5 linked regions of the Sus scrofa genome follow. The protein of the gene in region 2 purifies or fractionates together with the protein of the main gene of each other region. This does not show direct contact. Links are inferred from orthologs where the notes say so. Each region holds a gene or a part of one and is shown on either strand. Other genes may lie near its edges. The genes, in order: RINT1, USE1, SCFD1, BNIP1 and STX18.

The links.
Region 1: the proteins of USE1 (region 2) and RINT1 purify together in Homo sapiens (co-immunoprecipitation; 3 studies listed by BioGRID and IntAct, counting the BioPlex papers as one, with this or other methods). This does not show direct contact. The link is inferred for Sus scrofa from reciprocal best matches to the Homo sapiens genes USE1 and RINT1.
Region 3: the proteins of USE1 (region 2) and SCFD1 purify together in Homo sapiens (affinity purification with mass spectrometry; 3 studies listed by BioGRID and IntAct, counting the BioPlex papers as one, with this or other methods). This does not show direct contact. The link is inferred for Sus scrofa from reciprocal best matches to the Homo sapiens genes USE1 and SCFD1.
Region 4: the proteins of USE1 (region 2) and BNIP1 purify together in Homo sapiens (co-immunoprecipitation; 4 studies listed by BioGRID and IntAct, counting the BioPlex papers as one, with this or other methods). This does not show direct contact. The link is inferred for Sus scrofa from reciprocal best matches to the Homo sapiens genes USE1 and BNIP1.
Region 5: the proteins of USE1 (region 2) and STX18 purify together in Homo sapiens (co-immunoprecipitation; 4 studies listed by BioGRID and IntAct, counting the BioPlex papers as one, with this or other methods). This does not show direct contact. The link is inferred for Sus scrofa from reciprocal best matches to the Homo sapiens genes USE1 and STX18.

What each region holds. Positions count from the first base shown.
Region 1 is NC_010451.4:105,394,597-105,399,928, reverse strand, and holds part of RINT1 (RAD50-interacting protein 1), read right to left. Parts: intron 1,454-5,332; coding exon 1,269-1,453; intron 1-1,268. UniProt on the Homo sapiens protein: Involved in regulation of membrane traffic between the Golgi and the endoplasmic reticulum (ER); the function is proposed to depend on its association in the NRZ complex which is believed to play a role in SNARE assembly at the ER.
Region 2 is NC_010444.4:60,449,946-60,455,886, forward strand, and holds USE1 (vesicle transport protein USE1), read right to left. Parts: upstream 4,126-5,941; 5' UTR 4,103-4,125; coding exon 3,962-4,102; intron 3,654-3,961; coding exon 3,604-3,653; intron 3,464-3,603; coding exon 3,385-3,463; intron 3,299-3,384; coding exon 3,146-3,298; intron 2,032-3,145; coding exon 2,019-2,031; intron 1,600-2,018; coding exon 1,572-1,599; intron 1,098-1,571; coding exon 923-1,097; intron 684-922; coding exon 501-683; 3' UTR 479-500; downstream 1-478.
Region 3 is NC_010449.5:68,847,427-68,853,510, forward strand, and holds the start of SCFD1 (sec1 family domain-containing protein 1), read right to left. Parts: upstream 3,630-6,084; 5' UTR 3,550-3,629; coding exon 3,492-3,549; intron 1-3,491. UniProt on the Homo sapiens protein: Plays a role in SNARE-pin assembly and Golgi-to-ER retrograde transport via its interaction with COG4. Involved in vesicular transport between the endoplasmic reticulum and the Golgi.
Region 4 is NC_010458.4:51,136,528-51,142,572, forward strand, and holds the start of BNIP1 (vesicle transport protein SEC20), read right to left. Parts: upstream 3,863-6,045; 5' UTR 3,588-3,862; coding exon 3,504-3,587; intron 3,161-3,503; exon of another isoform or gene 1,919-3,160; intron 1,062-1,918; coding exon 969-1,061; intron 1-968. UniProt on the Homo sapiens protein: As part of a SNARE complex may be involved in endoplasmic reticulum membranes fusion and be required for the maintenance of endoplasmic reticulum organization. Also plays a role in apoptosis.
Region 5 is NC_010450.4:5,995,215-6,000,546, forward strand, and holds the end of STX18 (syntaxin-18), read left to right. Parts: intron 1-1,040; coding exon 1,041-1,110; intron 1,111-3,194; coding exon 3,195-3,275; intron 3,276-3,707; coding exon 3,708-3,803; 3' UTR 3,804-4,598; downstream 4,599-5,332. UniProt on the Homo sapiens protein: Syntaxin that may be involved in targeting and fusion of Golgi-derived retrograde transport vesicles with the ER.

The sequences.
Region 1 (5,332 bases), on a different chromosome or scaffold from region 2:
GGGTTCGATCCCTGGCCTTGCTCAGTGGGTTAAGGATCCGGCATTGCTGTGAGCTGTGGTGTGGGTCGCGGCCAGTGGCGACAGCTTCAATTAGACCCCTAGCCTGGGAACCTCCATATGCTGTGGGAGCAGCTCAAGAAAAGGTAAAAAGACAAAAAAAAAATTAGGATGGCATTACAACATTTTTGTGTACTATGAAATTATTTACTTGTAAAAACACTTTATGGAGCTCCTGTTGTAGCTCAGCAGTTAATGAACCCTATTAGCATCGACGAGGATGCGGCTTCAATCCATGGCCTCGCTCATTGGGTTAAGGATCCAGTGTTGCCATGAGCTGTGGTGTGGGTCCCAGATGCGGCTGGGATCCCGCGTTGCTGTGGCTGTGGCATAGGCTGGCCGCTACGGCTCCGATTAGAGCCCTAGCCTGGGAACTTCCATATGCTATAGGTGTGGCCCTTAAAAAAAAAAAAAAAAAAAAAAAAAAAAACACTTTATAAGTCGTTGTAGGAGTTCCCATAGTGTCTATGAGGATATGGATTCAATCCCTGGCCCTGCTCAGTGGGTTATGGATCCAGTGTAGCCACAAGCTGCAGCATAGGCTGCAGTTGCAGCTCGAATCTGGCATTGCTGTGGCTATGGTGTAGGCCTCATTTGTGGCTCCAACTGGACCCTTAGCCCAGGAACATCCATATGCTACAGGTGTGGCCATTAAAAAAAAAGTTGTTGTATGAGGAGTTCCCTTGTAGTGCAGCAGGTTGAGGATTCAGCATTGTCACTGCAGCAGCTCTGGTCACTGCTGTGGCACAGGTTTTGTGGTTGTTTTTTTTGGCTTTTTAGGGCCAAACTTGCAGCATATGGAGGTTCCCAGGCTAGTGGTCCAATTGGAGCTGAAGCCACTGGCCTATGCCACAGGCACAGCAATGAGGGATCCAAGCTGCATCTGTGACCTACACCACAGCTCACAGTAATGCCAGATCCTTAACCCACTGATCAAGGCCAGGGATCGAACCCACATCCTCATGGATCCTAGTCGGGATCGCTAACCACTGAGGCACAAAGGGAACTCCCAGGAACTTTGTGTTTTACATAACCTGTAAAACATCTAGCACATTGTAGGCCCTTAAAATCTATTAAGCCGTTTTAAATGATTAGACTATTTGTCATAATCTACATCTTCAAAATTGCCCAGATAATAATGGTTATATATACGTTACATTAGTTATAATAAGTATACTACTGATATCGTTTCAATGAGTTTTAATACTTGCCTGTTCTTCTAATTGCATTTTACTTTCTGTCATCTGTTCTATGAGTTTATCAAGTTTCTTTAAAGATTTAAGGTCATTTCCAACTTCCTTTTCTATAAATGCTGACACATAGGAAGGGAGATCACCATTATCAGTGCCTTCACAGACTTGTTCATTTCCAGTGAGAGCTGTAATATTTATTTCACCTAAAATGAAAGAGTAACAATTAGTCAACACTACTATTATGGAGTTAAAGGAACTACAAAAGACATACAAGATATACTTTCAAAATTAATAATTTGAAGAAAACACTACATATGGCATTTTTGTTTAAATATACAGAACTTGTGTTATATGTATATATACACATACACAAAAATAGCCAATAGTGTGCATAAGTGTATATGAATATATGTATATACACACCCTCCCTCTTTTTCTTTCTATATGCAGTCAGCCCTCCAAATCCACAGGCCATTTCATGGATTCGACCAACCACAGATAAAAAATAGTAATAGAAAATTCCAAAAGCAAAATGAATTTGCCATGCTCCAGTAACTGTTTACGTAGCATTTACATTGATTGTACAACTATTGCTATTATTAGCATTAGGTACTTTAAGTAATTCCTAGAGAGGATTTAAAGCATACAGAGTTTGTGTACAGGTTATATGCAAATACCGTGCCATTTTATATAAAGGACTTGAGCATCCAGGCATTTTGGCGTCTGCTGGAGTCCTGGAACAATGCCCCAAAGATACCAAGGGATGACTGGCATACACATACCCAAATACCTAAATGAATAGACTTAAAGCAATCTATCACTCAAGAACTACTACAAAATGCTTAAGAGCTAGGAGATTCAGAGTGAAAGAAAAATTACCTAACTCTTGGAGTTCCCATGGTGGCGCAGTGGTTAACGAATCCGACTAGGAACCATGAGGTTGCAGGTTTGATCCCTGGCCTTGCTCAGTGGGTTTAGGATCCAGCGTTGCCATGAGCTATGGTGTAGGTTGCAGACGCAGCTCGGATCCCGGGTGGCTGTGGCTCTGGTGTAGGCTGGCGACTACAGCTCCAATTAGAACCCTAGCCTGGGAACCTCCATATGCTGAGCGTGCAGCCCTAGAAATGGCAAAAAGACAAAAAAAAAAAACAACAACAACAACAAAAAAAACCTAACTCTGTCCTAGTAACCACAGGTTTCAATAAATGTTGGTACAACAATGCAGTTACAAACAGATATTAAATTTTTCCAACCCGCATGTTCGTTGCAGCACTATTCACAATAGCCAAGACATGGAAACAACCCAAATGGCCATCAACAGACGATTAGATTAGGAAGACATGGTATATATATACACAATGAAATACTACTCAGCCGTAAAAAAGAACAAAATAATGCCATTTGCAGCAACATGGATGGAACTAGAGACTCAGTATACTAAGTCAGAAAGACAAACGCCATACAATATCACTTATATCTGGAATCTAATACACAGCAGAAATGAACCATCCCACAGAAAAGAAAATCATGGACTGGCAGACTAGACTTGTCATTGCCAGGGGGAGGGGGAGGGGGAGGGAATGGGATGGATTGGGAGCTTGGGGTTAATAGATGCAAACTATTGCTTTTGGAATAGATTAGTAGTGAGATCCTGCTATGTAGCACTGAGAACTATGTCCAGTCACTTATGATGGAGCATGATAATGGGAGAAAAAAGAATGTATACATGTATGTATAACTAGGTCACCATGCTGTACAGTAGGAAAAAAAAAATGTATTGGGGAAATAATAAAAAAAAAAATTAAAAAAAAATTTTTCCAGACAACTGTAGATCTTAAAAATCTTATTATTTTATTATTGGGGGACAAAGGTCAAATCTAGTTCTACTGATGCAGCTTTTATTAAATTAGTAATATATTTTTAAAATTTTTAAGGAATTAGGTATTCTACAACACCAAAAAAGAACTCTAGTTTTAAAATGTTTTTTAAAAAGAAAAAAAAAATGGTATTGAAAGATTTCAAGTGTATGGAAAAAATATGAAAGGGTGACCAAACTCCTTATATAAAAGAGTTTTAAAAGTTGACTGTACAAAGACATCCATTTCAGAAACAGGAAAAAAAAGAAAATATGACAGAAAACACAAATTACTAGGCAAAAACTCAATGGCTACTGCAAACAATAAATTGTACAATCTAAAGTGAGATTCTTGGAGTTCCCGTTGTGGCTCAGTGATTAACGAATCCAATTAGGAACCATGAGGTTGCAGGGTCAATCCCTGGCCTCTCTCAGTGGGTCAAGGATCTGGCATTGCTGTGAGCTGTGGTTAGGTTGCAGATGAGGCTCGGATCCCATGTTGCTGTGGCTCTGGTGTAGGCCAGCAGCTACAACTCCAATTGGACCCCTAGCGTGGGAACCTCCATATGCCATGGGTGTGGCCCTAAATAGACAAAAGACAGATAAATATTTTTAGAGTTCCCACTGTAGCCCAGTGGTAACGAATCCAACTAGTCCATGAGGATGCAGGTTTGATCTCTGGCCTTGCTCAGTGGGCTAAGGATCCGGCATTGCCTTGAGCTTTGGTGTAGGTTGCAGACGCGGCTTGGATCCCACGTTGCTGTTGCTGTGGCTATGGTGTAGGCAAGCAGGTACAGCTTCAACTTGACCCCTAGCCTTCGAACTCCCATATGCCATGGGGAGGTCCCAAAAAACAAAAGAAATGAAGGAAGGAAGGAAGGGAGAAAGGGAAAGGTTCCACAGCAAAGAAACTAGAGTTGGGCCAATTCACACTGGACTTACTAAATGTGACAAAAACAGGTGATGTGGAACCTCCTTAAGAAGAATGGTAAGGGAGTTCCCACTGTGGCGCAATGGAAACAAATCCGACTAGTAATCATGAGGTTTCGGGTTCAATCCCTGGCCTAACTCAGGGGATTAAGGATCTGGCGTTGCTGTAGCTGTGGCATAGGCTGGCGGCTACAGCTCCAATTTGACCCCTAACCTGGGAATTTTCATATGCTGCAGGTGCAGCTCTTTTTCAACAGCCCCCCCCCCAAAAAATGGCACAAATGAACCTATACACAGAACAGAAACAGACTCACAGACCATAGAGAACAGACTTGTGCTTGCCAAGGAGGAGAGGGAGGGAGTGGGATAGACTGGGAGTTTTGGGTTAGTAGATGCAAACTGTTACACTTAGAATGGAAAAGAAATAAGGTCCTACTGTATAGGAATGTATAACTGGGTCATTTTCCTGTAAGACAGAAAGTGGCACTATACTTTAAAAAATAAAAAAGTAAAAATTATATTCTTTTGATTTAACCATTTAAATGTAGCATAGTACAGTCTTAGTCAAATGACATTCTTCAAAATGACACACTGCTGATGGCGTAGGGGTGATGTCTCTTTTCCTGTTTTTTGTAAGGAGCACTTCTAATTGCAAAGAAGTTGACCAAGCCACCAAAGGAAGGTCAAGGACAAAGTCCACAGCTTAATGGCATCAACTTCCCAAACATATGAGTGGGGCAAAGGTAGAAAAATAAAGTGTTGGGAGTTCCCATCGTGGCGCAGTGGTTAACGAATCCGACTAGGAACCATGAGGTTGCGGGTTCGGTCCCTGGCCTTGCTCAGTGGGTTAACGATCCGGCGTTGCCGTGAGCTGTGGTGTAGGTTGCACACGCGGCTCGGATCCCGAGTTGCTGTGGCTCTGGCGTAGGCCGGTGGCTGCAGCTCTGATTAGACCCCTAGCCTGGGAACCTCCATATGCCGAGGGAGCGGCCCAAAGAAATAGCAAAAAGACAAAAAAAAAAAAAAAAAGAAAAAGAAAGTGTTTAATTGAGAGAGGTACAGGAGGTACTCTCAAATCCTTTAAGGAAAAGGAGCTGAGTTGTGGCAGCTGTGACTGGCAAGCACTATGAAGTAGTTAAAGCTTTCTTTCTGAGGCAGACTGTAGCAGGAGGCAATGTTAAGGGCAGGTCTAACCCCTAAAACTAATATGGTAACTTAGGCACCCTTTCTATTACTATTCATTCCCAGGCTATGTGCCACGGCCAGAAGAACCAAAACACTCTGATGAAACAGCTGT
Region 2 (5,941 bases):
TACTCTATGATCCCTTTCAGGGTCCCAACCCCAGTGCCTACCCAGTTCTTGCTTTGTCTTTTTTTTTTTTTTTTTTTTGGTCTTTTTTGTCTTTTGTCCTTTTAGGGCTGTACCCATGGCATATGGAGGTTCCCAGGCTAGAGGTCGAATCGGAGCTATAGCTGCTGGCCTATGCCAGAGCCACAGCAACACAGGATCCAAGCTGTGTCTGCGACCTACACCACAGGATCCAAGCTGTGTCTGCGACCTACACCACAGGTCAAGGCAATGCTGGATCCTTAACCCACTGAGTGAGGCCAATGATCGAACCTGTAACCTCATGGTTACTAGTTGGATGTGTTTCCGCTGCACCACAACAGGCACTCAATCCTTCTCATGTACTCTTTGTGGCTCTCAAGAGGCTCCAAGGACCTTCCCATCTTGTTGCCCACCCCAAAGAATACCCATGGACAGGGGTGGAGGGCAGAGAGAGGACAGGTGAGGTGGACAAGGCCAGGGCTTTATTTGAGTTTGGGCATGATACGGATGAAGAGGATCATGCTGATGAAGATGAAGCAGACAATAATAAGCATGGCCCAGAGCAGCCAGTTGACTGACTTCTGTGTGTGCTGCTCCAGCCGCTCAGATTCTGTCTTTAGCTTCTCTAGATTCTGGTCAGCCATCTTGAGTGAGTGTGACAGGGTCTGCGGGTGAGTTGGGGAGAATGTCAGGACTGGGTCCAAGTGTGGCCTCTTCCTACCACACTGGAGCAAATCTATAGCTCTTGGCCCTTGCTAGTGCTGTTTCCTCTGCTGGGAATGCCATTTTTGCCTTCTACCAAACTCCTACTCAGCTAGCCAAGCCCCAACCATAGTGCCCCTCTGCTGGAAAGCCTTCTCTGATGCCCAAGGTAGAGGTTTTAGAGTTGCCATAGTCCTCATACCTGGTTATCCTTCTTGATGACACTCTGGGCAGCCAGTGTGTTGGTCTTGAGGCTCCGGGCCAGGCCTAGCATCTCCTCTGCCAACTTTTCCTGGAGGTCCTGGTGTCGCTGCAGGACAAGGTCTAGCTCTGCTGCTGACTGCTTCTCATCCTCTGGCCTGGGCCCTGCTGCCCCACTGACCATACAGATGGGGGGACAGGTGGGTATGAGATGGGGAGGGGGTATGAAGAGACAGACATGTTCTCAAAGAATCTAGAGGTTCTATGCCACTGCCCTGCTTCCCCTTTTTGCTTTGGTTTCTGGGAAGAGCATCCTCAGAGGTGGCTTTTGATTGATGGTTAAATTAATTGATTAATTAATTTGGGGGCGGGGCACATCTGTGGCATATGAAAGTTCCTGGGCCAGGGATTGAATCTGAGCCAGAGCTGCCACCTACACTGCAGCTGTGGCAATCCCAGATCCTTAACCCACTGCACCAGGCCAGGGATTGAACCCTCATCCCTGATGCTGAAGAGACACCAACAATACTATTGTGCCACAGTGGGAACTCCTGACTGCTGGTTTAGACACTTGTGGCAGCGCCTCAGTGGCCCAAGGACTGTCCAGATCCCCTGCCCCCAGTGCTGCTCAAGGGGCTGAAGATACTCACGTTCTCTTTCTCACATTCAGTTCAGGCTCTGGAAACAAAAGAGGCCAAGCAGGAAGAAGGAGAAAATTGGTTTGCTGTTTTCCAACTACCTGACCATTGCTTGGGATGTCTGCTGCTCCTAGTGACATTTTTCATCTTGTCTGCTACCCAGGTGGCCCCTATCAGGCTTCAAAGCGCTCCCTTCCAGGAAATTTTCATCCTTTGGGCTCCCCCAGGCCCCAGGCCCTTCCCTCTAGCCAGTTCTGGACCCTTGGGCTGGGAGTGTCCAACTCTGTCTCCTCTGGGGGCCCCTCCTCTGTCCTGCCACCCCCTCCAGGAGTAAATTGCTAATGTTCCTGGGACACTCTCCCTGGGCTGTGGAAGCCAGGTTAGGCATGAGGGATGTGGGGCAGCAAGGATACATGTCTGTCCCAGGCCTTGAGTCCTGTTCTGCTCACATTGACTCACCTTCAGTAGAGTCCTGTGGGAAAAAAGGAGAGGCACCAAGTCACCCACCTTCTCATGTCCCAAGACCTGTCCTTTCTGCTTTGAGAAACTCCCCACTCTCAGTCCTGTGACATCTCATCCTCAGTTTCCTCATATATCACCTGGTAACAACGGCTAATATTTGAAGGGTTAGTTGATCCGCATAAAGTGTTTATAGAGACATTTGCCATCCTCTTTTTAAATTTTATTTATTTATGGAGTTCCCGTCATGGCACAGTGGAAACGAATATGACTAGGAACCATGAGGTTGAGGGTTTGATCCCTGGCCTTGCTCAGTGGAGTAAGGATACATCGTTGCTGTGAGCTGTGGTGCAGGTTGCAGATGTGGCTTGGATTTGGCATTGCTGTGGCTATGGCGCAGGCCGGCAGCTATAGCTCTGACTGGACCCCTAGTCTGGGAACCATATGCCGCAGGTGCGGCCCTAAAAAGAAAATAATAATTAAAAAAAATAAATTTTACTTATTTATTTTAATGGCCACACCTGTGACATGTGGAAATTCTTGGGTCAGGGATTGAATCTGAGCTCCAGAGCAGTAAAGGCCAGATCCTTTAACCCACTGGGCTGGGCTAGGGATCGAACTGGCGCATCCAAAGTGACTTCAGTCAATGAAGTCAGATCCTTAACTCACTCCGTCACAGCGGGAACTCCTTGTCATCCTGTTTTACAGATGGAAAAAAACTCATTTCCCTGTGGGTAGGCAGGAGCTAAACTTTGCTCTGGGTTAACTCTGGGGCTTAACTGGAGATGTGCCATTTATTTTTGGCTGCACCTGCAGCGTGTGAACGTTCTGGGGCTAGGGATTGAACCTGCCCCTCAGCAGTGACAACACCGGATCCTTAACTTGCTGCACCACCTGACAACTCCAGAGATGTGCCATTTTTTGCCTTGTAACAAATGCTTACTCATCTAGCAAAGCCCTGGCCACAATGCCTCTCTGTTTGGAAGTCTTGTCTGATGGTCCAGGGCAGAGGCTGTTGGGCTCCCTAGGATCCCTACACCTGATAGTATTTGTTGTTCTGATTACCACCAGGCACTAAACTCCTGTCCCCAACTGAAGCTTCCCAGGGACCAGACAGGGAGCCCTACCGTGCCTAGCAGCTCACTCCGCATCTCACTGGTGTACCGTGCCCGTGACTGTAGGTGCACTGTCTTTGTGGCTGGTACCCGTTCCCTGGCCGTAGTTGGCACTCGGCCAGGGGCCAGGAACTGGTTGGCTAGTGCCTTCTCTGAGGAGGAGGTCTGCAGAAGAGGGAAGAGGGGTTACCAGGGGGCAGGTCCCAGGTGAGCATGAGGAAGGTTGAGGAGGCTGAGGTGCCCCTGCTCACCAGCTTCTCTGCCTGCAGCATCCCCTTCAGAAAATCTACTTTGCGAGAATATTCATTGATCACCTCGGACGCCGGTTTGCTGGAAGGCGAGAAGAGGAAAAAGAAAATATGTCCACTGTCCCCAGTTCAGGGAAGGGTCTTATCAGGGACTGGAGACCAGGAATCCTGGACTCTAGTTCTCGCCCAGTATTTGAACCACCTGTGGCCACCTGCACTCACCTCGCCTGCGCTTTCAGGGCCTGCAGCATGTCTTCAAGGGCTCCCACGTACTGGGGACAAAAAGGGGGGTGTCAGCCCAGTCTCCCTCACCCCTGCAGGGTCTACTCAAAGGGGTCAGACCCAACAAGGGGCGGGACCAAGATGGGGGCGGGGTTGGAAAACGGGAGGAGCCAAGTGTCAAGGAGGGGAAGCTGAGCCCCAGGGAGGAGCCGGAGGAGATGCAGGTGGACGTGGCGGAGACAACCGGAAGGGGTGTGGCCAGATTGGCAGGCGGGGCCTGGGAGTCGGTCCGGTGGCCTCTACCTGCGGGAATCACCCTCCGGATTCGGGCTCTAAGCGGAAGATGGGCTTCCCTCACCTTTTCTAAACGCCACTCGTCCGGGTCCCGTTTCTCTGCTGCCATCGCCTCGCAGCGGCACAAGAGCCGCACCAGGTTCAGCTCCAGCCTTGACGCTGCCATCGCCACCCAGCGGCACTCCGCCCCTTCCGCCGGCGCCATCTTAATAGGTGGCGGAAGTTCCTTCCGTTAGTCTCCTTCCGGGCGGAAGTGCCCTGCTCGTTTGGTGTCCCATTCTTGTTTGGGGAGGCCGAAGTGATGTTTTGTTTCAACTGAGACGCCATCCCCTTTATATTTACTCAGTGCTGAATTGCTTGCTTATCCTTGTGTGCCATGCCCGCTGGCATGTGGAAGCTCCTGAGCCAGGGATCGAACCTGCGCCACAGCAGCCAGCGCGGCCGCTGCAATGAACGCAGGATCCTTAACTCACTGCACCACAAGGCAACTACCTCTGGTGAGCATCTTGACCCTTCTAGAAGGGTCGAAAGGATAGTCCTTCCTGTCAGGCCCATATGCAACCCGTGAAGTGCTCATTACTTCTCTCCTGCTCAAAATCCCCCGCTCCCCACTCCTTTCTGGGTTCTTTCACTGGCCTCTTCCACACAGGCAGCGCTCCCTGGACTCTCCCAGGGCAGAGGCCCTGAGCTGGGGTTTTAGCATCCAAGACTTGGGAACCGATCCGAACTTTTGCGGCTATGATTTCACCCAGCCTTGACTCTGACTCCACCTCCCACCATGGCCTAGTGAGTTTCTTAACTTTTTCTAGACCTCCCTTGGGAAACAGGCAGTGTGGCAACGACATGAGCTAGTCCTGGTTGTGAGAGGTGGGGTCAGGTCACCCCTAGTGCCCAGATCCCCATGGTTGGAACCCCGTCTGAGTTCCCAGGAAGCCAAAGCTCCTTGTTTGAGTCCCCCTCCTGGAGTGGACTGGGTGAGGATGGGGGCTTCACAGGGACTGAAGCCCAGCACGCAGCTCTCAACCACCTCCCCATCCCTCAGGTCATCACCTGTGGGCCTGGTATCCTGTAAAGTACCGTGGAGGAGACCAAAATCAGGGTATTGGTAAAAGGAGGCAGACAGGGCAGGGTCTGAATCCCAGCCCTACCCTTTCCCAGCTTTGTGGCCTTGAACAAGCCCTCTAACCCTTTGGCATGTGTCATCTCAACTCAGGTTTGTCATGGTCTCCAACTCCCCTACCCCACTGGCCCCACCTGCCAGCTGGTTCCCACAACTACCCATCTGGTTGCAAACTGGGACCTCCTCTGCTGGGGGTGGTGGTGTGGTGAAGGTGTTGCTTCTGGTTCTAGTGGGTTCCCAGGGACTGACCCCGCCTCCTTTTCAACCCAGGGCAGATGGCCCTTTCAGCTGACATGTAAGCCCCACCTGGGGAGAGGCTAGATGTGACAAGAAGCAGCTCCCAGGACAGCAAGCTCACCTCACATTCAGTGAGAATGCGGCTCTGCCAGGAGTTGCCTGCTTCCCCAGCTTCCTGGATCAATAAAAAGCACCTCCAGCAAAGTCCACCTCCCTTGTGTGAAGAGTATGTGTGAAATTTCAGTAGCAAAGTTGGATGGAGGAACAAGGCAGGTCCTTTCAGGTGAGGCGCCCAATCCCCTGCCCTGCACCACTCTTGACAGGCCATAGAGCTGACTCCCATCTACTGACCTCTGCTTTTCCAACCTGGAGCTGGCCTAAGTAGGAACTACATGCAGACACCTCTCAGGCACTTTTTTTTTATTTCACATGGCTTGCAGATGCCTCTTGTCCCAGACCTGTGGCCATGTGTCCAGGTATCTGGAGAGTGAGCTGAGCCTAAGAAGAGAGCCTCGCTCCAGAGATGCCAGCTGCCCAGGCTGTCGCCGTAGACTTGCAGGGACGTACAACCCTAGGCCTTGCCCTCCCCACCCATGATCAGTCCTGAGTTGCGGGCTCTTGTTCTGCCACAGGGGGCGGGCAGTGCCAAGGGCGGCCTACTCCAGCCTCCTGGGTCCAAGGCACAGT
Region 3 (6,084 bases), on a different chromosome or scaffold from region 2:
ACCTTCTCAGATCCATCTTAATGAATTTCCTCAATTCTGAGCCTTGGGTAACTTGCTAATAGGGATTCTGACACAGTGGATTTGTTAACAGAGTACATGGCCAATATGTAAGAATGAGGGGTTCCTGTTGTGGCTCAGGGGTTAAAGACTGATGTTGTGTCTGTGAGGATGTGGGTTCAATTCCTGGCCTCACTCAGTGGGTTAAAGATCCGGTGTTGCCACAAGCTGCATGCAGCATAGGTCATAGATGTGGCTTGGATCCAGTGTTGCCCTGGCTGTGGAGTAGGTCACAGCTGCAGCTCCAATTCAGCTCCTGGCCTGGGAACTGCCATATGCCACAGGTGCAGCCTTAAAAAGAGAAAAAAAGAATCTTTAAGAATGTAATTTTACATTATTTTACATTAGAGTAACTCTCTAAAGGCTTAAATTATTGCTTTTAACTGAAATGATTAAATATACCATACACACCTAGACTTGGCTAATGTACTTTCACCCTCACCTGGAATGTTTTTTCTTTGCTCACTATATATTCAACTACACGTACTATCACTCAGCAAATGTTTAGTGAGTGTTTGCCACCTGCCAGACATAGCTCTAGCTGTTGGTACTAAACAAAATGGACTGAATAAAAGTGACCTATCTTCAAGTAACTGTCATTCTAGCTGGGGGAGAAAGACAACAAAATAGTAAAACATATGATACGTGAGATCATGATAAGTGCTATGAAGGAAAACAGGGGAGGAAGGAGGAAGAGGGAGTTGTGAATTTTAACTTAAGTAGTCAGGAGAGGCCTCCTGAGAAGGTAACATTTGAATAATGACCTACAGGAGGTGACGGAGTGAGCCATGCAGATATCTCTGAAAGAGTATTCCAGAAAGAACACAAAAAGGCTCTGAAGTGGAGCACTCTGGTGTGTTCAAGGAAAGGGGAGAGTAAAAGGGATTGAATCAGAAAGTTAAGTGGAGAGCAGATCATACAGAGCCTTGTAGACCACTGTCAGATTGCTTTGGCTTTTACCATGATTGAAACAGGGAAACTAATAAATGACTTAAAGTGCTAGAGAGTTTTGAGCAAATATGTAACATGATCACTTGGGATACTATGTGAAGAAAAATGAAGGGAAACAGAGTTTTAAAAGCAAGGAGACCAAATAGGAGATTACTGCAGAAACTCATGGTGGCTTGGACCTGTGTGATAAAGGTCAGATTCTAGGCGAATTTTCAGAGCAAAGCTGGCAAGATTTACTGACAGATCTGATGTGAGATATAAATGACAGAAGTCAAGAAAGTGTCAAGGTTTTTGACCTGAACAACCACAAGAATGGAGTTGTCATTACTTGATATGGGGTAGACTGAGTCTGAGGAGAGGTCCAGGCTAGAAATATAAACGTGGGGATCATAGCATATAGAAAGTACTGAAAGCCAAGAAGCTACATGAGATCACTGTAAGAGAGAAAGCAGTTGATTTGGGGTTCTCCTCTAAGAAATGGGAGAGTTGAGCAAGAACCTGCAACAGAGAGGCATGCATGAATGACAACGGTAACATAGGATTCTGCCTGTTGAACTAAAGGATAAGACTAGAGTGTTTCAGGAAACTGTAACAAAAGACATGATTTTTGAAGTGACTTTAAAAGATGAATAAAGACTCTTCAGGCAGGCAAAGCAAAAAACTGGCTAGTTAAACTTTCTATAACTTAATTACCTGGAAAATGGAGATAAAAATACATGTAAAAATCACTTAAAACAGTCTCTGACAATACTAAATGTTCAATAAATATCAGCTATTATCTACCCAAATAGACTGCAAACTCCTTTGTACCAGAGTCTTATATCTAGAATATTTAAGAATCAACTGTGATCTATTTTCCAAAACATTCTCAATGGGCATCAGGCAAATGTTTACTTCTGCCACTACAGCACATATAAAGATGTCTGCCTTTCTCCCAAAATAAGACAGAACTCAACTGTAGTACTAATTTGATAAATCTGGAATAACCTATGTAGTAATGATGTGAAATATTGCTACAATTAAATTTATTACTGCAGAAATCCAAATTATGTGCTATTAGATTTTAATATTCTACAAAGTTTCTGCATATAAAAATTACTAACAAATTTAATTTTTCAAAAAGCTCCTTTATATTGGCATAAAGTCTTTCTTAACATGTTTTTTATTTTAATATGCAGTATGACCTAATTCACTGAGGTTCAGTAAGATGTTGGAACCATACTGCAAAGACAAGTGGGGTTTCTATTTGTTTATACAAATAAAATGAATGGCAGGTATTCCTCAAATTTTATTTGGACTTTCATGTATTTAAGTTATGCCTGACTTCATCTGATAGTTTACACTAAATTATCCATTGGTGGAAAGCAGAACATAACTCATTATGCACTGTGTATCATTACTACATTAAGGTCTACCATTAATTTTTTCTTTGAATTCCAAAGGAAGGAATCAAGCATAGCCAAAATCCTTTCTATAGACCATATTAATTGTAATCAGTTGTTTTCCTACACAGATTTATATGCAAAAGAACATAATTACAAGAGACAGAATTTCCAAATATGCATATTCTTGATGGCTTATTTCTACTAGCTCCTCAGAATTAACAGTTTGCCAATTTTCGAGACAATTAGCTAACAGGTATAATCCATTAGTTTGTAGCTAACAGGTATAAACCAAGTTGTCATCACAAGTTTCCAAAAAATATGGCAAAACTAAAATTATCTAAGATGGAAAAAATACCAAAGCTCAAAGAGAAGGAATGTGTATTTTTTAAAACCGTATTTCACAATATACACAGGAGCTATATAATTACGTTCTATTAAACATGAAACTAATAACGCATAGTTTAAGAACACTAATTTGCCAAATAATTAAAATGGGAAAGGTTAATTCATTTATTTTGCCATTCTTATACCTCATTCCAGCATGCTGAAGACAGAAATCTTTTAACACTGAGCATTTCTCATCTGGTACCCCCAAAGATTGGTCCAAAGGAGAGAAATGGCAGAATGTAATCTGCTCTGAAAAGAACACTTAAATTTTGTTATTGTGGTGGAAGTGCCGGAAGATGCAACTCTAAATATTGAAATGGGAGAAAACTGAACCATGCACAGAAACAAATCCGAAAGACCTCATAGGCAGCAACACAGGGAGGGGAAATGCCAGCTGCTAAATCTTGTCGTAAAGGCCTTCTGAGGTCCAGTAGGAAAGCGACAAGTGCAGGACAGGACCGTAGCAACCTGCTCACCCGAGAAGCCACTTCTCTGGCACCACTTCCGAGGGCCGAGTTTTCAAGCTAATGGAATCTCTTCCCTAAAAACTCAAGAGGGGAGGGGCTCTCGATGCTCGGAGAACAGGATTAAACTTTTGAAGGTCCACCTCTGAGCTGCACGCACCGCGACCGAGTGAGGGCGACAAGCATAGGAAGCTTGTCCTCACTGCAAGCATGAAACCTCAGGGAAGAGAAGAGAATAAGTCGGTACCTGTTTGTCTCTCGCGAATACTTGCTGCCGCGGCCGCCGCCATCTTGACTCCCACCATTCACTGCCCGGCTGGCAAGCGGAGCCTGTGGATGACGTGGCCGCCCCGACCGCCCCGGAAGCAAAGCCCGGAGGGGCGGGATCATAGAAGGCCGAGCCCCGCCTCCCCTACGGTGACCCTTCCGTACCCTCAGCAACAAAACTTGCCGAACAAAGAATGAGGGAATCATTTTTGGACACCTAGGCAGTTTACTTTTCGGAGGCGGAACAGTGGGAATTTTTATCCTATCAAGCCGCAGGTTCTTAAAGAGTAGCTGCCTTAAATTGAGCTCTTAGGGTAGAAACGTGTTGTAGTGCCAAGAACATATTGACTGTTAGTTTGGTCGTTTGCATATCTCTTAAGTGTGATAATACTCCTGGGGCTTAAGGGTCACAGGACTAAAGTAAATGAAGCTCCTGGAACAAAATCGGCACTTAAATGCCAGCTCCCTTTTCTTTTTACCAGCGCAGCTTGTTTCCCTTTTGCTCCCCTTTCCAGGGAAACGGTCAGCTTTGGTGTATTGCTCTCATTTGGCAGATTTCTCAACCTCACGTGCAGGTGTCTTCTTAATGTACGCTTAAAGCCATGTGATAACAAAATATATCCGATATTGATGACTTCTAATCCATAGATTTTTTATTGGATGTCAAAAATGGACACACAACTCTGTGCATTAGCTATTGTTTGTTCTGAAGCTGCACCAAATTCTGAAATTACAGACCCTGTACCTTAAAAACTGGTTTGAAAACTTAAATTTTCAAATTTTTGAGACTATGTTTAACAATTACATAAACAGCAAAATCTATAATAAAACACTACTCCACAAATAAGTTTTTATGAAACTTAAGACTGATAACCTTAATGTCATCAGGGAACACCCTAGAACTGAATCTATTTTTTTTTCCTTCCATATTTTTTTCAGCTTTATTGAGAGTGTAATTGACAAAAGTGGAAAGATCCTTGAAATGTACAGTGACAATTTGATATATATACACATACATTATGAAATAATGTCCCTCCATCTAGTTAACTATCACATCTATCAACTCACATATTTTTCTTTGTGTGTGAAAAATACTGATTTCTCCTCTTAGCAAATTTCATGTATACAATATAGTTATATCTAGGAGTTCCCATTGTGGCTCAGCTGGTTATGAAGCCAACTAATAGCCATGATTAAATGAGTTCAATCCCTAGCCTTGCACAGTAAGTTAAGGTTCTGGCATTGCTGTGAACTGTGGTGTAGGTCACAGACATGGCTGGGATCCGGTGTTGTGTGGCCAAAGAGCTGCAGCTCTGATTTGACCTCTAGCCTGGGAACTTCCATATGCTGCAGGTGCGGCCCTAAAAAGCAAACAAAACAGTTATCAACTATAGTCACCATGTTATATATTAGATGCTCACACCTTATTCATCTTATAGCTGAAAGCTTTTTACTGTTTCATACATGTGGAATTTAAAATATTAAAGTTAAAACTCATGGAAACAGCAGAAAAATCACTATCATTTTTACAGCTAATTGGCATATTCAATAAGAAATTAACTGGAATATTTACTGCTTTATTCAGTGTTATCAGTAATATTTTGAAGGAATCACCAATGAACTAGGTGTGCTATAATTAAACAGAAATGAGAGTTCCTGTGCTATGTGAAAGTTTTACTTCATTTTTTGTTTTCATGGAATATATAATAAACAGGCTTTCCCACCTTCAACATCTGAGAGCCTAATCTTGTTCATTTTGGTGCTTCCACTTTCAAGTGCAAATCTATAATGTAACCATTTCAGCTCCAGTATAGACCTCCCAAAATTTGAGTCATACTGATATGAAATAAGACATATTTAATGTTTATATACAGCATATACATTTGAAATGATAAAAACTGTCTTGACCAAAGAGTGCACAGTGTGGGCAAACAAATGTATAAAAAAATATGTCCCACAGAACAGTGGCAGTAAACATAGCTCCTGTGAGGCTAAGACTAAGGTATTTATTATGTATTATTACACATAAGGAAAGAAACTACAGCTGTTAAAGAGTGTCAGTTAACCCAACTTAACCTTTTAACTGACTCAACTTATCCAGATTTTTGGCTCAAAAATTTTTTTTATTTTGGCAAACTATTATTTTACATTGGGGATAGACAGTTTTAACACAAAAAAACCTCAGTTCATTCAAGAGAGTTTCCTAGGTGTCAGCCAACAACTGCTTGCTGGATCTCTCAAATGTGTAGAGGAAAAGATCTTGTATCTTCCTAGTATTGTTTAGAATCTAAACCTTGTTAAATCCTAACAAGTTACTTAATTTAGTTCACATAAGCATTTCACATTTAGTAGCATAAACATATTTATTTAGAAAACTTCATTATAAATGTTATATTTGAGGCCTTTTTTTTTAATTTAAAAAAAAGGACTAGGCTGACATATTATCACCTAACATAATACCCAGCACAATATTGGAAGAAGTTTGGCAATTTGAAATAACAGCCAAAATGAGAACTTGAAAATTGAGTGTCTTGAAAGCAATCCAAATTTTCCTAAAGTACAGGTAATACATA
Region 4 (6,045 bases), on a different chromosome or scaffold from region 2:
GTTAAGAACCTGACTAGTATGCATTAAGATGCGGGTTTGATCCCTGGCCTCACTCAGTGGGTTAAGGATCCAGTGTTGCCATGTGCTATGGTGTAGATCAAAGATGTGGCTTGGATCCCATGTTGCTGTGGCATAGGCCGGCAGCTATAGCTCCAATTTGACTCCTAGCCTGGGAACTTACATATGCCGCAGGTACAGCCCCAAAAAGCAAAAAAAAAAAAAAGGATAAGGAAACTTCCTAATACTGACATGGAAAGATCTACAATATATATTGTTAAGTTTTAAAAAATTAAAATGATTAAATCAGTACTAGAGATGGAGGCGGAAAGAGACCAGCTAGGTTCAGTGACATTGCTGACAACCTAGAGTGACCTCCTTTGACAAAAACTGCATACTGGCAAAACTGCCCTTGAAAATCCCTTAGAAAGCAACACAGGACATGGACATTCTGTTTCTCAGGGTCCAAACTGCCAGTTTTTCAAGTATCTTTGGAACAGACTGTCTTCTTCTGTTAAGCAACAAGGGCTGGCATTTGGGACCAGGTCAGATAAAAAGCACAAGTCTCTAAATCCAGCATCACATGGATGGAGACCAGGTGCCCCAAGACCCGCCCAGGGATGGACAGACCCATGCTACCAGCTTACCCTCACTCAGGGCACAGCACAGAAACACCTACTTTCCTTGCTCTAATGATTTTGGAAACAGCACATATACCCTAGTTGAATTCAAGACTGTTACATAAGCATATGATGCGACTAGAGACACAGAAACAGAGAGGAAGAGGCCAAAGTGACAGTATGAAAAAAAAAACCATTACCAGATAATTGTAATGAATTGAGGTGGATGGGTTAGAGAGAGGGGTAGAGAAAAGAAAGTTAATTCAAGTGATCTCTGAGTCTTCAAGTTGAAAAATTCCAAGGACAATGAATGCTGCCCAGTCTCAGCATCCCTGCTCTGCGGACACTTACCTGTATTCTGTGCCGCAACTGTTGAAATTTTTCTTTCACTTTAGTATTCAGTTCCGTAAGTGCACTTAAGGGTCCTGAACAATCTCGAATATCCTAGGAAAAAGTGAAGAGATGAGGGAGCCTTTCTCAAGGCAATGAAATGAAACGACACCAGCTGTACCGTGAGAGAGTTGGCTTAGGTCACAACTAAGTTTGGCCTACTAACTGAAATTCATCCTGATCTTTGATGTTTACCTCTACAACACAAGCAAAAACAATGTAATTTACATTTTTCTCATCCCGCTTTAGATAACTTCTCAGCAAGTAACATAAAAGCACAGATAGAAACACAACTCTATCTTGACCTATTAGTTCCTGAAGTTTACCAAAACTCCATTCAGCCATTATGAAAGACTTAAAGCAACTTGTGACAGGAATGGACATCTAAAAGACAGACTGTAGCTTTACTTTAATGGTGGGGGGCACTCCTATGGCATATGGAGGTTCCCAGGCTAGGGGTCCAATGGGAGCTACAGCTGCCAGCCTACGCCCACAGTCACAGCAACAGAGGATCTGAGCAGCGTCTGTGACCTACAGCACAGCTCACAGCAACGCCAGATCCTTAACCCACTGAGTGAGGCCAGGGATTGAACTCACAACCTCATGGTTCCTAGTCGGATTCATTTCCACTGCGCTACAATGGGAACTCTGACGTATTATAACATTAGACTGTAATGTTACATGGTTCCAACTTAAAAGTCAGGATGCGGAGTTCCCGTCGTGGCGCAGTGGTTAACGAATCCGACTAGGAACCATGAGGTTACGGGTTTGGTCCCTGCCCTTGCTCAGTGAGTTAACGATCCGGCGTTGCCGTGAGCTGTGGTGTAGGATGCAGACGCGGCTCGGATCCCATGTTGCTGTGGCTCTGGCATAGGCCGGTGGCTACAGCTCCGATTGGACCTCTAGCCTGGGAACCTCCATATGCCGCGGGAGCGGCCCAAAGAAATAGCAAAAAGACCAAAAAAAAAGTCAGGATGCTAATATTTGGCATTATATGACAAGATTAACTTCTTGATCTAATTTTATAAACCCTCTATTGTAAGTCACTGTTTATAAACATGCTCAAAGATAGATTTAGAATTTGCTTCTGGACATTCAGAATTTCCAGGGCCAGGTTTTAAAGCAGGCCCTAGGATATATTATGTACATTCAAATTCTGGTTGTAGCAATTATAAGCTGTTTTATTTTACCTTGAAAAAGTTACTGAGTCCTATGTGCCTTAGTTTCCTCATCCCAACATTACCTACTTCATAGATCAGGTATGTAGTAAAGGGTTTAGCAGAGGAGTTGGAACACAGTAAGAATGCGCTAACTCTAGCTATGATCAACTGTTCTCATCACAAGAACAAAGAGAGCTAGAGAGTGCCCAAAAGGGCTTAAGCAATATAGATTATGTGAAAAGACAGTTTCGTTTGTTTTATGACTCCTCAACTTATTTTTCTAAAATTGGCCCAGAGGTTTGTAGTTTATACATCGGAAACATGAAGTTCAAGAGTTTAACTGTTTGCATCAAGTTGCCTCACTTGTTCTATGGATTATGCATTAAATCACACTTCTTTGCTCCATATAATAAACTATTAATTTGGTTTATTTTGCATTTGGCTTCTGTGGGGAGCCTTATTTTCCTCCACCTTTTACCACAGTTGGCTGCAAATTCTCAGTCTACATCCAACGTTTAGTAACGTTTGTTGTAAATGGAAACGATCTGCCTCAAATGAAGATTTTAAACTCTTGGTTTCCTTTTGCTAAACTCAAGTAACCATTTCTACATTCCTAACTCTTGCCTATGCCAAGGGGTTTATTGTTATCTTCTACCCTCAAACGGCCTAAAACAAAGGACCTCAATTACCCCATCTGTTAAACGAAGTAGACTCAAGTCTTTTTTCTATACTGACTTTCCCTGTCCGACCCCAGTTTTGCCATTATCTGCCCTCTGACCCAGGCCTTGGCCCTTGACTCGATTTCCTAATTTACAAATCACAACGTCCAGGTTACGTTCACTTCATCCAGTGCCTCCCGCGCCAAGGGGCCTTTGGTGACCCGGGACATCAGACCCACGGAACTGGCCACAGGGGCCGGGGTTAACGGCCCCCAGGACTCTACCAAAGGATGGAAAGGGCGGTGTCAGAAGGCAGGGCCAAGCAGGATGACAGGTAAATTGGAGACTGGGGCAGGGCGAGGAAACGGCCGGAGTGGGGCAGGGGCCACAAAAAGGTAGCCAGGCCTGAGGCGGAGGCTGGGGAAGGGAGAGGGAGAGGAGAGGCCTTGGAGAGGGCGAGCCAACGGGAGCCGGAAGAAGGATCAAGGAGAAGAGTCCAGGGGATGAAGGGAACGGGACCAAAAGGGGAGCAGCTAGGAAAAGGGGGCGGGGCCAGCGACCTCGGAGACTTGACCAGATGGGGAAAGCTCAGCAGTGAGACCGCCGAGCTGAAAGAAAACCAAAACCACTTGGGTTTCGGGCCGCTGGTCCCCATTGGGGGTCCTGGGAATTAGTACCTGAATAAGCGCCTTCACTTCCAGGTCGAATTTAACAATCTCTTGGTTACAGATCCGTACGTGGACATCCTGGGGAGCCGCCATGTTGGGGAATGCTGACTACGGACAGCCGCGGGGCCCAAGTTCCAACGCGTTTTCTCCCGGCCTCCCTTCCTTCCCGGCCGGGCCTTGGGGCAGCGCCCCCTAAAGACCGGCCTGCGGCGAGCGAGGGCGGCGGCGCAGTGGTGGGGACTTTCCCTGACACGTGGGCGCGCACTCAGTCGGCCTGTTGGTGTGGATCTAGTTAAGAGAGAGAGAGAGAGAGAGAGAGAGCGAGAGCGAGAGCGAGAGCCGAGGGTATTATCGAGAACGCTTTAACGGTGATCCCTCCGCATACTCCGCCCATCAGCCACTCTAAAGAATGCGGGGTTTTTTGCATGGGGGCGGGGGGTGGGGGGAACCGCTGGAAGAAAAGTATCAACTGGGATATCTCTGAAAGGTATAATTAACAATTGTTTACACTTTTTTAAACTTTCTTGTATTTTCATATTTTCTACAGTGAATATAAATTGTGGAATGAAAGAAAAAAATGACAAACGTTGTTACACTTTTTTAAATATACGAAATTCAAGGCAAGTCCCTAGGGAATCTTCTGTTAGTCCAGCTTGAGTGCTAGGGATCTTTGCGTCTAAAATGCGCAACTGGTAAGTCACATTCCAGTTTATACCCCTTCTCTGCTCCTGGCGGTTCCCTTTTGTGTACAATTAGATTTATTAAATAATTTACCTGGCTGGAGTAGTTTTGATGGAAATAACAACCTGGCTGTTGTCTCTCTCTCAACAGACAGAGAGTCTTTCACTTTATTTTTCTTATAAAATAGTCCAAGTTTCTTAACTTGGCCCTCAAGACCATCAGCTACCCCACCCAGCGCCCCCGCCCCCCTTGCATTCTTCAAGCTCTTTTTGGGTCCGTAGTTGTGGGGTTTTTGTTTTGTTTTTTGGGTGGTTTCTCTTTGGCTGTGCCTGGGACATGTGGAAGTTCCTGGGCCAGGGATTGAACCTTTGCCGGAGCAGCAACCCCAGCCATTGCAGTGACAGTGCTGGATGCTTAACACCCTGAGCAAATGGGAAGTCTGGATCTGTAGTTGTGGAATGTGCTTTTCTCCTTCTTAGAATGCTTTTCCCCACTTGCCCTCACCCCATTCACCTTTGTTCTGCAATCATAGACTGGGAAAAACTGAGTGTCAGCTGTTGCCCTTTAGCCTCACAACCACCCTTGAAATAGGTAATAACCCAGTTTCACAGTTCGGGAGTTGGACTAAGGCCAGATCAAAACAAAACAAAAAACGAGTTCCCGTCGTGGCTCAGTGGTTAACGAATCCGACTAGGAACCATGAGGTTTTGAATTTGATCTCTGGCTTTGCTCTGTGGGTTAAGGATCTGGCATTGCAGTGGGCTGTTGTGTAGGTCGCAGACGAGGCTCAGATCTGGTGTTGCTGTGGCTCTGGTGTAGGCTGCGGTCTGGGAACCGATGAGGGGTCCAGTTAGACCTCTACCCTGGGAACCTCCACATGCCGTGGGTACGGCCCTAGAAAAGACAAAAAAGACAAAAACAGAACAAAACATCCTTGCCCCAAGGTTGCCCAAATTAAAAGTGGCAGAGCCTTAAGTGAAAGCCCTATCTTCCTTCCCTCAAAAACCAAATATGGCCCCTTGAATAGTGTCGAATAAGGGGGGAGCTGCGTGCTCCCACATCTGTATTCCTCCAGTGTTCCACACCCCCTCCCTCCAGGCCTTCATTATTCCACTGCATCTAATAGAGAGGCCACGTGAGGGTTAAGGCAGGCTTCCCCTCTCGGTACTTCAGCCTCCTCAGAGGCTAGCTGGTGGAGATCACAGCTACATGAAGTCATACATAAAAAGCACCAAGCACAATGTAGTAATGTGGCACATGCTAAGAATGCAAAGCACATTGGCCGCTATTATTATATTACTGACATTTGTGGCACTCTTCCCTTGTGCCAGGAACTTTATATGAAGTGCTTTATGTGTATCATTCTTTCACAACAGCCCTGAGGTAGAATTATCCACTTCCTACAGATAAAGAAACAGGCACAGAGAGAATAATGACTTGCCCAGCGCAATGGAATGGCTAGGTCGAAGGTTACATGCATTTCAAAATTCTAATACATACAACTGCATTGCTTTTCTTAGAGGTTATATCAATTTACACTCCCACCAGCGATGTGGTATGAACGCCCGCTTTCTCATGGCCTCACCCACATGGTGTGATAACAAACACTGGGATTTTTGCCAATTGGATCAAGTGAAAAATGCCACCTTTTAATTTGCATTTCTCTTATCATGAATAAGGTTGAGAACTATTTGTATTTACTGTTTTTCTATTAGGTTGTTGGTCTTTTGCCTATCCATTCCCAGGAGCTCTTTATTCATTAGGAGGATTTGTTCCTACAGATAAGCTTTGCCTCTTTTTTTTTTTTTTTTTTTTGTCTTTTTGCTATTTCTTTGGGCTGCTCCCACGGCACATGGAGGTTCCCAGGCTA
Region 5 (5,332 bases), on a different chromosome or scaffold from region 2:
GGCTGCTCCCTCCCCAAAGGGTCAGCCCCACAGAAGGCCAGTGGCCACAGCCCAGACAAGTAGGTCGCCAGCCTCCGGTGAACGCACTCGGGGCCTATCGCCTGGCAGTGCCAGGGGGCATTCTCAAGGCAAGGCCGGCCTTCACAGGTGCTGAAACTCCATGGGGAGCCCACCCCCGCAAAAGATGGCGCGCCCTGGCGTTGTACCCGCACAGCCCCGGGGACTTAGAGAGCAGGCGTCTCCCTCTGACAGCTGCCCAGCTCTCTGCGGCCTCTGCCCTCCCCGCCCTGTCCCACCTCACGCCTCTTGCCAGTTCTCCTCTCCTTCCGTCACCGGGTCTGGGGGACTCGGAGGCCTTAGGGACACAGCTGGGAGCCGTCTCTGCTCCCTGCACTAGACACGCACCACCCCAGCGCCCCTGAAACAGGCAGCAGCCTGGCCCCGGATGGGACATTTTCAGCCGAATCAGAGGAGGTTTTTCCCAACAGGGAGTTGGTTCGAGGGCTGAATGTCCTTCTTCCCCTGACCTGCTGAGCAGCAGCAAAGCCCAGTGGTCACCCTATTCTGACTGTGGAATCCGCACTGTGTGTCACTGTGGTGGCCGGGACAGGGCTCAGCAGTAGAGGAGACTTTGTCACCGGGCACAGCCTCAGGCACCGACTCTGGAGGCAGGGGCCCTGGGTCAGCGCGTGCGCGGGGAGGGGCGGGCTTCCAGACAGTCCAGTGCCTCCGCCAAGCTGAGTGACATTAACGGGGAGCCAGTGTGCAGCGGGAACCTCCCTCTGCCTGTGTCCTTCCCGGAGCCTGACTGTCCCTCCCCCCCTCCCTCGTGGATGACGAGGTCCCCTCCCCCCTTCATGGATGACATGCTCCCTCCCCCCTCGTGGATGACGTGGTCCCCTCCCTCTTAGCTGACATGGCGGGAGTCCCCTCTTCATGCCTTAGAAACTGCCACTTAGACACTTTCTTCAGAAATGTGTGACATTGCTGTTAAGATCACCAAGTCCTAATAGGTAACGTGTAATCTGTTTTTTATGAAGGCAAATCGAAGGCAAAGTGGTTGAAATTTCCAGACTCCAGGAGATATTCACAGAGAAGGTTTTACAACAGGTAAGAAAAAAAAAAAAGTTGTTTTCGGTTTCAGCTTCAAGGGGGGAATAGACTAAGAACTTGGGACATTTCTCCTGGATTGTGGAGTCCCTGAAGCTGTGTGCCCGCAGCCTCACCTTCCCCGGGCAGCCTCCGCAAGCTGGGAAGGGCTGGGGAGCTGCTAGATTGGTCCCGGATGTGCTCAGGACACTGGGGAGCCTCTCTGAGCCCCAGCCTTTTCGTCTATAAAGTGGAGTGACCCTTGCACAGTTGTCATAGGTTCAGAGATGGCCCCTGGGGAACGCCCAGCACAGTGCCGGATGGGGGTGGCTTTCCAGTCGGCGGTGTTCCAGGCTCAGGTTCGGCCCTCTCGGCATGGCCTGTGCGCACAGGAGGCGCGACTGATCTCGTGAGAGCGTCTCCCTGTCGTTTCTACCTGCCTGCAGCTCTGAAGTTCTGCCTGCCCCTCACTGGCAAGACTTTTAGACACCTGGCAAAGTCTCCCTTTTGTTTTTGGCATCCGCAGACTGGAAGGGTTTGAAAGACAAAATCCCTTTCCTCCACCGAGTTCAGGTGGGCTCCTTGGCTGACGATGCCCCACTCACGAAATCTCCCCGAGCCACCAGCCAGGTCCCTGCGCACTGCGTACACGGGATGGTTCAGGCTCACAGGACCTGCCCCTTGGACTAGCTCGTTGCAGGAACCATTCCAGCGTGTATATGCTAAGCCTCTGCTCAGGAGCCGACACAGGAACGGCTTGGATGCCTTCTCCTCGGAGCCCCCTGCTGTCGGCAGAGGCAGTTCACGCGGCGGGAAGAGCTCAGAGCCCAGATGGAGGCAGACAGGCAGCCCCAGCCGCGTGACCTGCGGCTCCCCTGAGCCCCATGCCCTCTGCACATCGGGGGCCAAGGTCCCCTGGTCGCTCTCTGGGGGTGGTCCATAGGAAGTGCCCCGCCTACCACAGGCTCTGTTTGGGTCGGTTTGTTTCTAGGTGTGGCAGTGGCAGCCGGGGTGCTGCACTGCCCTCCTAGCACAGCGGGGAGCCTCAGCGTGGCAGTGCTTTGTGCAGGAAAATGCCCCAAGGCCTCAGGGCCCTAAAGGCAGTGAAAACTCACGGTCCTGCACTAGCCCACCCGCAGGGGAGCACTGACCACTGTTCACATCTGATTCTTGGTTAGCGGGCTGGTTCTACATTGAGTTCTAGAGAGTTCCAGACTGTGCTGGAGTGGGTGGAGCTGGGAGCACAGCTCCACCCTGTGACACCCAGGGCCCGGGGCAGGACCTGGAGGGACCTACAGGGCGCTAGCTGAGCCTTCCCCGCCCCAGGAGTCTCTGAGTCCTGAGAGCAGTTGCACGTCCACGTTGCAGACGGGTCCCTACCCGCCGCGCATGTGGTCAGCTGGCTCCCACTTGGAGACACTCCAAGAAAGCGTGACTGCAGAGAGCAGAGCCGTCCCTGGCCCTTCATCCTTAGCCTGTGTCACACTCACTGCTGGGAATCAGGCGGCTAGAGGTGGCTCTCCTCTGCGGCCTGTACCCGTCGGGTGTCCCTAAAGCCCAGGCTCAGGGCGGTCCCACTCTCAGACCTGGCGGGTCCCCGCCTGTGCGGGGATCAGCCACACGTGCCTGTGCGAGACCAGAATCTCAGACTCAGCTTTCCAGGTGGTTGGAGTTGAAGGTTTTTTGCAGACAGCCTGCATCCCATTTGGACTTAAGTTTTTGCTTTTTTTTTGAGATAAAATGGTGAAACACAAAGCACCACTCTGAAGCTGGCACGCGCTTAGAAGGCCCTGGCGTGTGGTGGCTGCTCTGTGACCGCAGCGTTTGCTTGTTCCTTACCGCTGGGGAGTGGGCGGGAAGGGGGGAAGCGGAGGGAGCCCCGCACCGCCCCCATCGCAGCCCCACCACCTGGGTGCTGCGTGCCTTGGGCAGAGCGTCCGTCTCCCTTTGGTGAACGGGAGTCTCCTATCTCTCGGGGTGCTGTGGGAGCCTGGATTCACGCGTGTGGAGCCCTGGCCCCCAGGAAGCGGCGGCTTCTGTTCTTGTTGAGACACACTCAGGGCAGGGGCGGCGGGTGTGTTTATCTGCCACCCTTTCCTCCGCAGGAAGCCGAGATTGACAGCATCCACCAGCTGGTAGTGGGAGCCACCGAGAACATCAAGGAGGGCAACGAAGACATCAGGGAGGTGGGTGCTCCGTCCCGTCCCCACCGTCCTGCGGAGGGGCCCTCGGGGGCGCAGGGTCGCCCACAGCAAGGGGGAGGCCAGCTCCCTACATCCAGGCTGGAGAGGCCTGTTGGACCCGCATCCGCGGTCCTCCGAGCAGGTTGATGCGGGGCCATACTGGGGCCACCCCTGCCATCGCACGGCTGGGAAGCTCCAGCCGAGGAGCGGACTCGTGCTCTGAGCCTGCCTGTGTGGTTTCAACCCTGGGGTGGCATCGAGCCATCGCTCCTGGGGGATTGGTGGGAGATCTCCACATGAAGACCGGCCAGCAAGGGAAAGCCAGCCCCCTCGTCCTCCGACAGATTTTACACCCACTCTCTGGTAGGGCCGCGCGGGGGCGCGCAACACACGCGGCGGCCAGGCCCCGTGTAAGAGTCCCTCCCCCCCCCCCAGGCCATCAAGAACAACGCCGGCTTCCGCGTGTGGGTGCTCTTCTTCCTGGTGATGTGCTCCTTCTCCCTGCTCTTCCTCGACTGGTACGACAGCTAGGCCGCCACTCCCGCCAGACGGGAGCCCCAGCATCGCAGCCACGCGGACTCTCTAGGGACACCTGGACCTGTGGGCTTGAGCCCATTAGTAGCTGAAAAAGAATCTACGCAATTGAACGCGGTCTGCGTGGTGGTCCTGCGGCCGGACGGGAGGGGGGAGGGCGGCCATTCCTACACCTGCGGGGCGCGGGGACGGCAGGCCTCTCCCCCGGCACCGCCGCCTTGGGCTCCACCCTCCCGGAGGCCGCAGGGAGACTGCTGGCCCGCAGCCCTGCTCGGCGGAGGACGTTTGTTTGCTGCGGCTTCTTGTCTGCCCGGGCAGCTGATACGCAGCCTTGCTGTGCTGGAGCCGACAGCCCACCCTTGCCTTGTTAGCCCAGGAGATGCAGTTAGAGCACCGCCTGTACCGCTGGTAAGTCCAAGTGCAGAAAGTCCCTGCACCCCACCTGCCTCCGGTCGGGAAAGATATGGGGGATGGGGCCGGGGGACGCGGCTCCCCCGAGAACTGCCTCCCCCCACCACCGTCCTGACCAGAGGGCAGGGCCTGACTTCGTGCCACTGGGGCCCATGGAGCTCTTGGCCGGAGAAGGACCTGGGCCTGAGGCACCGGCGGCCACGCGTGTGCAGAAAACAGCTGGTGTTGGGGACCCCACAGCCGGGGAGCGGGGGCTCTACACAGACGGTCCCAGGGCGCCGCAGCGATCCTTGTGTTCTTTGTTAAGAGAGTGAAAGTGTCAGAAGTTACATGGGGATGAGTTTACAGCCGGTGAAATACACATCTACTGGAAAGTACAAACAGTTGCCTTGGTGCTGGATTTCCATGGGCTGGAAACTGGGATAGATGCTCTCTCTGCAGAGTCACTGCTCTTCGTACATCCCCACAGCTTCCCAGCATCCTTCACAGCTGAGACTCTAGGGTGCACCCACGGCCCCGAGGCCAAGGTCCTTGTTTCCAGACACCCCTGATGTCACCTGCACAGTATGTTTTGGAAGCAGGAAGGGAGTTGGCCGCGACCACCATGCTTACTCACAACAGATCTCGCACTGTTTGTCATTTATTTTTTGATCTAAAAAAACAGTGAAACTTGACATGTCCCCCAGAAACACCACATTCAAATGACATGGAAGAGAATGCCCGTCAATGTCTTTTCTCTATTTAATTGTCTCACACACGTCGTTTATCTAACTGGCGATGTTGTAAACATACACTTTAATGTCAAGAGTCAGGCTGAGACATAGCTGTCTTACGAAGAGGGTGAATGAAAATCTCCTAACTGGACTTGCAGGTGCCACACCAGCCCCCATCCTGGCCTCTCCTGCCTGTGTTTCAAATCAGTTACATCTGTCCCACAAAAGACAAGTTAAAGTAGTCCTGGCTTACCAGCAGTTACACGAAAGTATTCATAACAGACACGACTAAAAGGGCCGGTGGGTTTCATTCCTACTCAGCACACCACAGAGCAGACAGACTACTACAGGGAGGCGGGGTCTGCTGCTAGGGGCCCAGGGTCACCTCTCCGCAGTCCCCCC